Linked DNA regions of Ovis aries. The protein of the gene in region 2 binds, or shares a complex with, the protein of the main gene of each other region. Links are inferred from orthologs where the notes say so. Each region holds a gene or a part of one and is shown on either strand. Other genes may lie near its edges.

Region 1 (4,222 bases), on a different chromosome or scaffold from region 2:
TTCCAGCATTCTTTCACTCAACAAATGGCACCACCTTCCATCTAACCATATTAGCCAGGAACTAGGAATTACCCTGTTTATCTTCCCTGCTAAGTCTGGTGGACTGTATTCCTAAATAGCCTCCACATCTATTTCCTTCTCACAACCTTGTCTATGACCACCCCAATCCATGGTACTCTATTTTGCCAAGACAAGTTCAAAACTGTCTTGAACTTGAAAACTGTTTCAATAGCTTCCTAAAACTGTCCTCCTTATGCTAAGCTGCTTCAGTTGTGTCTGACTCTTTTCCACTCCATGGACTGTAGTCCGCCAAGCTCCTCTGTCCAAGGGATTCTCCAGGCAAGAATACTGGAGTGGGTAGCCATGCCCTTCTCCAGGGGATCTTCTCAACCCAGGGATCGAACCCACGTGTCTCCTACGTCTTCTGCACTGGCAGGTGGGTTCTTTACCACTAGCGCCACCTGGGAATAGTCCCCGTACAATCCATTTTTAAACTGAAACAAGAATGATTTAGATAAGCCTGAGCATTTAAAACAGCCAGTCCCACCCAGCACAGCCTCCTGAAGTACCCTTGCTATCACAGGCTCACAATGCTCTACCTGTCCACTCTGCTCAGTGCTCTAGGGACACCAGCCTCCTCGCAAATCCCACTTCCTAAGAGCCTCTGCCTGCAACTCTCTTTTCCTCCAATTTTCACATCCCTCACATGCCTACACATCCCTCACATCTCAGCTCAAGCAGCACTTCTTGGGGAATCTTTCCTTCTTCTCTCAAACTATATCAAATCTCTCCTTCATAGCACTTATCAGAGCTGCATTATTCAAGCCATTTTCGTATCATCTACCTAGCTTCCTATTAAACCATAAACCCCATGATGGCAGGAAGCATGTTTCTATCTACTTCTGTTCACTACTATTTCCCCAGGACCAAGCACTGCTTCTACTACATACAGTTCACTAAACAGCTTAAGAAATGACTAAATAGCACACTGCCCAGCATATGATGGATACTCAGTAAATATAAGCTGTCCAGACTTTAAAACAAATAAGACACTCTACTAATTTCAAACATAATTAACTAAAATGCATAATTAAACTTTTAATAATATAACTACAAATATTATAATCATATAATGTGAAATTAACCATACTTACTGGAATTCCTTGTAATTGCGGTTTATCTAGAAGATTATGTAGTTCATTTCGAGAGGCTTCTATCTTTTCACGATCTGCAGCATCTATCATGTAACTTTAAAAAAAAAAAGTGATCTCAAAATGCCTCCACCATATTCTTTGATGATCACAATGAACAAACTTTTAATTTTCTTAATTTATACTACTAAAACTGTTGATCAAAATTAAGTCCTAGATTTTGAAAGGCTGTCACCCGAAAATACTTTTTAACAGACTGTCCTACAGATACAAACTACTATATACAGAATTAGATAAGCTGCAAGGATATGTTATATAGTACAGGAAATTATACCCATTATCTTTCAATAACCCATAATGGAATATAACCTGCAAAAACACTTAATCACTATGCTGTACACCTGAAACTAATACTGTTAAGCAACTATACATCAATAAAATAAGCAGAGAAATAGACTGTTCTTTAGGGGGCTAAGACATGACAGTAAAACATGTATATCCATTAGCTCTTAGCAACATAGAGAAAAAAAAACACTCATTTGATGATTTCTTTTTTTAAAGTCTGATGTTAATGGGAAATTATACTAAGAAAATACCTAAAAATGATTTTACTGCCAGAAATAAAACTTAAGCCTTTAAAAGTATGAAAAATGACTTATTCCCTTGAAACCTAAACTGACTATAAGGGGGGATGGGGGACAGGGCGTGGGGGTGGAAGGGAGGCAGCTTACACAATAGCATTGACTCCTCTGCAGTACCGTTCCCACATGCTCCGGAAGCGGGGTTGTCCTCCTATGTCCCAAATCTTCAAATCAAGATAGACAAATCTTAATAACAATGTTTCAAATAACACAGTGACGAAAAAAGTGGCAGACAGAAGGGAAAAAATGAAGCAGATATGCTCAGCTCCACAATGTTAGAGCCAAACTGCTTTGGAAAAATTTGAGCTCAAACAAGCTCTTGACCTGGAAGTTCCTGGGGACATTTCTGAACTTGAAGTTCGTATTTAATACGTTTACATTAGATCTAATAGGTGCTGCCTGAGCAAAGATTTCATTTTGGGGCCATACTTTCTTTGCCTGTTAACCAATAGATTTCCAATACTGAAAACCAATTTTTAAAAAAACAGTACTCTTAGAATCTGCATGATCACACATCATCCACATTTGAAGTCCAAGAGGAAAAAAAAAAAAACCTCTTCATTCAGAATCTATTAAAGTGTAATTGTCTGATGGGGTATATATATTAGAATGTAATCATTTTAAATTATTCTGTATATAACAGAAAATATTCCTACCTAGGTGCTTTTCTTATATAAAATTATTTTATCCATATGAAAACCACCAACTACAGTCATTTCACTATTATGGCTACTCTGGAGGGCTATGTAAAGGTCTTAAGTCATGATGTTTATCTTCAAAAGGCTTCCAATTTAGCTACAGACACTGGATGCATCCATAATGACATACACATGAGACATTAGAAGCTTCATTAGATAAGCTACAGAAAGAATTTAGTAAACAGCTTCTGTGAGCCAGAAGGACTGGGTAAAACGGCCATAAGGGTTCAGGCTATAGAAGCAAAACTCCCCACATGAACAAAGGAGTCAAAAATAATAAAAATAAATTAAAAACCGGTCCAACAGTCCACAACACAAACCTATCATACTTATTCTAGAAACAAAATGATGTTAAACTAATTAACTTTTTACTGTTTTAAAGTTTCAATTTTGGGGCTTAGTAGTAAAGAAAGGAAAACTAGGTTACCTTATTTGCTACCATAAATACAATACTAAATTACCAATATTATAAACAGTTACTCTCTTTCAACATAAATTATTCATGAAATATATGCAATATTACATTCCAAACACTCTGAAGATGGGATTTTTCTTTCCTAGGAACATCTAAATCCCAAATATTACTTTTGCCAACCCATATGCAAAGTTTTTCATGAGACTGAACATTTCAACACTTAAACATCAGAAAAAGAAGGAAAAAAATTAATTTACACTCTTTTGGAACATGCCCAATTAAGAATTGCCAATACTCATGTAAAAACCAAAGAAACAGAAAAACTCCTAATTTGTATGTGCTATTAACAATTTACATCAAGTACAGCAAGCAGCTGACGTACCTTTATTGTGACGTTACCTTTAGTTACTTTTCTCATGTTGAAGCCCACTGTAGGTATCATATCTTCACTGAACTGACCTGACTGAATGAAAGAAAACATTTGAAGTTAGACTAATTGTTACTTATTAAAACTGCAACACTGTATAACCTTTCACATCAACTTTACTTCTGTACCCATATTCAGTTCAGTTGCTCAGTCGTGTCCAACTCCTTGTGACCCCATGAATCGCAGCACACCAGGCCTCCCTGTCCACCATCATCTCCTGAAGTTCACTCAAACCCACGTCCATTGAGTCGGTGATGCCATCCAGCCATCCCATCCTCTGTCATCCCCTTCTCCTCCTGCCCCCAATCCCTCCCAGCATCAGAGTCTTTTCCAATGAGTCAACTCTTCGCATGAGGTGGCCAAAGTACTGGAGTTTCAGCTGTAGCATCATTCCTTCCAAAAGAACACCCAGGGCTGATCTCCTTTAGAATGGACTGGATGGATCTCCTTGCAGTCCAAGGGACTCTCAAGAGTCTTCTCAACACCACAGTTCAAAAGCATCAGTTCTTCAGTGCTAAGCAAGTAACTATTTTTCAGTGATGGTAACCTTCAGAAGATACTCCTGATAGCCATAGATTCTGAAGAGATGCATTTTTTTTTCATTCACATTCTCCTTTTAAAGATATTTTTGAAACTAATGCAAATTTTACATATTTTTAAGTTTAAGAAAAATACCGTACAACTACTTAAGAAATCTGTTGTGTAAATTTCCTCCACCTATACATACATTTTTTTATACAAGGTAGAAGTAAATCAGAAGCAAACAGTCAAAGTTTTCTATCTGTAGCACTGAAATTATATTGACAATACTGTTAAAATTCACTGTTGCTCTTCTGAGTCAGCTTTTTAATAATGCTTACAAAATGTTTTTTCATAAAGATGATCCTCCT
Region 2 (4,222 bases):
GGAGTATCTCTCTGCTGCATGTGGTGATGAACATGCACAGCTGGGAAGGGCCTGTCAGTATCCCAGGACATGAGCCTGGGGGCCCCTCCATGAGTACCCCATGTCATTCTCCTACCCCATCATTTCAGATAGCAGGGCGAGGGCAGGTCCTCACTGAGAAAAGGTCTTAGGAAATGGGGCAGGGGAAGGGCAGAGAGGCCCCCAGGGATAACAAGCACTGGGGTCTCCTCTCTCAGGGGCCACAGAGAAGCCATACTTGGTGGAAGAGGCTGTTTCTTACAATGAGCTCGACTATGTGTCGGTGAGTTCGGGCTCTGTGGCTGGTGTGTGCTGTCTGTACGGCTCCACGGGCCACCAAGCCTCAGAGCTGCAGAGCGAGGCCGACCCCTGGCCTCAGTCCCAGGGTGGGTGCCAGTTCTCATCTACCCCCGGGATGCCAAGGATAAGAACCAAGCCCAAGGGTCCCTCTTCCTCCTCTATACATCCGACCATCCCTTCCCACTTCATGGTGACCCCAGTCTGTGCTTCTTCCCCCCCAAGCCCGCCCTCTACCTGGCCATGGCTGCCCCTGTGGCAGCCGCGGCCAAGCTCCATGTGCATGTGAGGGTGTGGTTTCCGGCAGGTGGGCCTCGACCAACAGACGGTGAAGCTGGTGTGCACCAACCGCAGGAAGCAGTTTCTGCTGGACACAGCGGACGTGGCCCTGGCCGAGTGCGTGACACGCCCCTTCCGCCGGCCAGGAGACGGAGCATGCACTTCCGGCCTGGCCACACCCCTGGGGGGGAGGGTGGGAAGTGGGCTTTGAAGAAGTAGAAAGCAGAGACGAGTTTCCTTTGGACCCTGCGGTCCGGGCAGAGAAGCAGGGGGTTGACAGACACAGTGACCGACTGGGGAACCTCAGACCCTCAGTGGCCCCCAGAGAGGAAAAGAGGGCTGGCAGAATCGCCCCCACAGGACAGAAAGCACAGCCCCTGCTTCTGGGCCACGGGGCCACTCTTGGCCCACGTGCTTCCGTGCGAAAACTGTCTATCCTGAGGGCGGGTCTTCATCTGAGTCCTGCTGCGTCACTTCATCCGGGCTTCCCTTGTGGTCAAGACCCAAGGTTCCTTGGCCATCGTGAAGGGTTAGGTTTCCCAGACCACCGTTTGATGACCATGGACGGCTGCCACCTCATTGCCCCACCCGCCACCTTAGCTCTGGTTCCAGATGGGTCCCTCCCCTCAAACCCTGTGACCCCTTCAGGTCAGACGTCCTCAGGACTAAGCCCTGTCCCTGTGAGGGGTGGGGGCCCCAGGCCTCTGACAGCAGACCCCACTCCCCACACAGGTTCTTCTTGGCTTCTTTGAAGTCAGCCATGATCAAGGGCTGTCGGGAACCCCCCTACCCCAGCATCCTGACTGACGCCACCATGGAGAAGCTGGCTCTGGCCAAATTTGTGGCCCAGGAATCTAAGTGTGAAGTAAGAACCTGGGGAGGAGAGGCTGTTGTCCCCGAGGTGCGAGCCCTCGTGTCAGGGTCACGAGGTGCAGACAGCGGGCGTCCATGTTTCTCCATCATCTGCCTGCAGCAGGCTCTCTCCTCCTCCCCAGCTGGGGTGTGTCCTCACCCTGACAACGGCCATTCTTGCTTCTGACCCCAACCTCACCGCTCTGTCCCCTGCCCCCTCCCTCCCCAGGCGACCGCTGTTACTGTGCGTTTCTATGGGCTTGTGCACTGGGAGGACCCCCAGGACGAGTTCCTGGGCCCCATCCCCTGCCACTGCTCACCCCCCGAGGGCAGCATCACCAAAGAAGGCATGCTGCATTACAAGGCGGGCACCTCCTACCTGGGCAAGGAGCACTGGAAGACCTGCTTCGTGGTGCTCAGGTGAGAGCTCTGGCCCGGAGGCTGGGGTGGGGGACAGCACCCTCCTTCCTACGGGGAACCTAGAACTTCTCTGTGTTGTCAGCCGCATAGGGCCCAAGGAAGCCCAGGACATCTCCGGTGCAGACTAGGGCTGCTGGCCCCAGGTTTGGGGGTACGCATTCCTTGTGGGACCTCTGTAGTTTTTCCACCCTCCCAACCTCCCCAGCCTCCTTGGCCTCTGTGTTTCAAGCCCCAGCTTGCAAGGATCCCCAGGATGTAGTCTCTGCAGGCCCCCAGATCTCAGCCCAGACTCACCCCTGCCCCGTTGTGCCCCTGCAGCAACGGGATCCTCTACCAATATCCTGACCGCACCGACGTGACGCCCCTGCTCTCAGTGAACATGGGGTGAGTGTCCTGGGCAATGGGGTTGCTGGGCAGGTATTGGGGCCTGTGTTGCTGCCAGGTCAAGGTGTGCTCAGCCCCACCCCCACTCAGTGCCCTGGGGTCCGCTGAGCTCTGGGGGAAGCAAAAGGAGCTCCCTGCCTGGAAAGGATCCAGTCTGATGGGGAGTCAGTCCTTCCCCTGGGAAGCGCCTGACCTAAGGGGGAGTTGAACACACATACACCTGGAGGGAGCGCCAGGCCCACAGAGGTGGGCAAAGCACACTGATCCTGAGAGGGCGGGGCTGAGAGCCGACTCTCCACCCCTCACCTGGCCCTGTTCAGTATGCAGAAGGACTTTGGTAATCCTGGAGATTAAAGGTGTTACACAGAAAAGAGGTCGGGGCGGGGCTGCCCAGCTGTGGGGTCTGGACCACCCTCTGGTGTCCTCCAGACCCGAGACTCTGGGGCAGCCCCAGGAGCTCCCCTGTGCCACCCCTGCCTCCTCGACCCGTCTCACCCTCCTCCTCTGGCCCAGGGGGGAGCAGTGCGGTGGCTGTCGGAGATCCAACACCACGGACCGGCCCCACGCCTTCCAGGTCGTCCTCGCCGACCGGCCCTGCCTGGAGCTGAGTGCTGACAGCGAGGCTGAGATGGCCGACTGGATGCAGCACCTGTGCCAGGCCGTGTCCAAGGGGGTGAGCGCCTGCTCCCCTCCCCCAGCCTGGGCCCCCAGGGCCCCTCCCTACACCCAGACGCAGCACAGAGCAGCCCCCGAGGACCAATCAGGACCTCCAAGAACCAGCCCAAGAGTCCACCCTGGAGCTTAGGGCCACCCGTGGCCTGACGCTCCCACCATCACTGGGGCCAGCCCCTGTACTCCTGAGGTGGGCGGAGTCTGCTTGACCTCTGGAGGGCTGGGCAGAGGGGCTGGCTGGCCCCTGAAGCAGGGTGTCCTGGTGCAGACCAGCCCTGGAGAGCTCCAGCTTGCCCCTCCCTTCCCCCACCCATGCCCCCCAGGTCATCCCCCAGGGGTTAGCTCCCAGCCCTTGCATCCCTTGCTGCCTGGTAATCACCGATGACCGCCTCTTCACGTGCCACGAGGATTGCCAGACCAGCTTCTTCCGCTCCCTGGGTACTGCCAAGCTGGCCGACATCATTTCTGTGTCCACTGAACCGGGCAAGGAGTACTGCCTCTTGGTGAGCCGGGTGAGGGGGGCAGGTGATGGAGGCAGGCCCTGCCACAGGAGTGCTGAGTCTGCTCACCTGGGGCCCCTGCTCTGCCCAGGAGTTCTCCCAGGACAGCGCACAGCCCCTCCCACCCTGGGTTGTCTACCTGAGCTGCACACCTGAACTGGATCGATTCCTATCTGCACTGAACTCAGGGTGGAAAACCATCTACCAGGTACCCAGCTGCCAGAGCCCCGCAGAAGGGAGTCCTTCCCTGGGGAAAGGCGCCCTGCACGGCACAGACCAGGGCAGGCGTCAGGGGCCCAGGGAAGCGCTGAACTAGGAGCTCCAGGACAGATATCGGTAGGACCAAAGGGACAGGATGCTAACTCCCTGGGAAGCTGAGGCTAAAGCTGAGCGTCGAGCCCAGGAAACACCATTCTTGACCTTCTCAGTCCCCATCAAAAAGCAGGATTTAAGGGCTTATAGTGGGGCTAGAGCTGCGCTAAGATGGTGGGGGCATAGAGCTCAGAGCCAGGCTGAGGGGGCCTCATCGAACTCCGGGACAGATCCTGGTATGAGCACGTGCTATGCTGCCCCTCAGAAGCTTTGGGCCCACCTTTGGCAGAGCGCATTTCCACAGGCAGACTCCCAGGTACAGAGCCTGCCTCCTGGTGCCACCCCCAGCCCCCACCCCCAAGAACCGGTGCACCCCTGGAAGGAGGAAGCTCAGGGAGCATCGCCTGATGGGCTGGAGCCCTTGTTTCTCAGCAGCATGGACATAGTTCCAGGGCAAGGCTACACCTGGTGTGGAGAGACCCCTCGGC

Evidence for each region. The genes of interacting proteins can lie anywhere in the genome.
Region 1: the proteins of PLEKHM2 (region 2) and ARL8B are in contact, whole or in part, in a crystal structure (PDB 8JCA), measured with the Homo sapiens proteins. The link is inferred for Ovis aries from reciprocal best matches to the Homo sapiens genes PLEKHM2 and ARL8B. Residues at the interface, in NP_055979.2 of Homo sapiens: His70, Phe71, Thr72, Arg73, Arg74, Glu75, Glu103, Ser105, Glu107, Ser108, Tyr109, Arg111, Leu112, Glu115, Glu147, Phe148; in NP_060654.1 of Homo sapiens: Glu22, Thr52, Val53, Gly54, Phe55, Asn56, Met57, Lys68, Trp70, Arg77, Phe78, Arg84, Tyr85, Arg87, Gly88, Val89.

What each region holds. Positions count from the first base shown.
Region 1 is NC_056072.1:21,220,368-21,224,589, forward strand, and holds part of ARL8B (ADP-ribosylation factor-like protein 8B), read right to left. Parts: intron 3,369-4,222; coding exon 3,288-3,368; intron 1,957-3,287; coding exon 1,883-1,956; intron 1,249-1,882; coding exon 1,155-1,248; intron 1-1,154. UniProt on the Homo sapiens protein: Small GTPase which cycles between active GTP-bound and inactive GDP-bound states.
Region 2 is NC_056065.1:51,135,423-51,139,644, reverse strand, and holds part of PLEKHM2 (pleckstrin homology domain-containing family M member 2), read left to right. Parts: intron 1-236; coding exon 237-301; intron 302-622; coding exon 623-711; intron 712-1,326; coding exon 1,327-1,459; intron 1,460-1,675; coding exon 1,676-1,866; intron 1,867-2,184; coding exon 2,185-2,250; intron 2,251-2,763; coding exon 2,764-2,923; intron 2,924-3,245; coding exon 3,246-3,425; intron 3,426-3,513; coding exon 3,514-3,630; intron 3,631-4,222. UniProt on the Homo sapiens protein: Plays a role in lysosomes movement and localization at the cell periphery acting as an effector of ARL8B.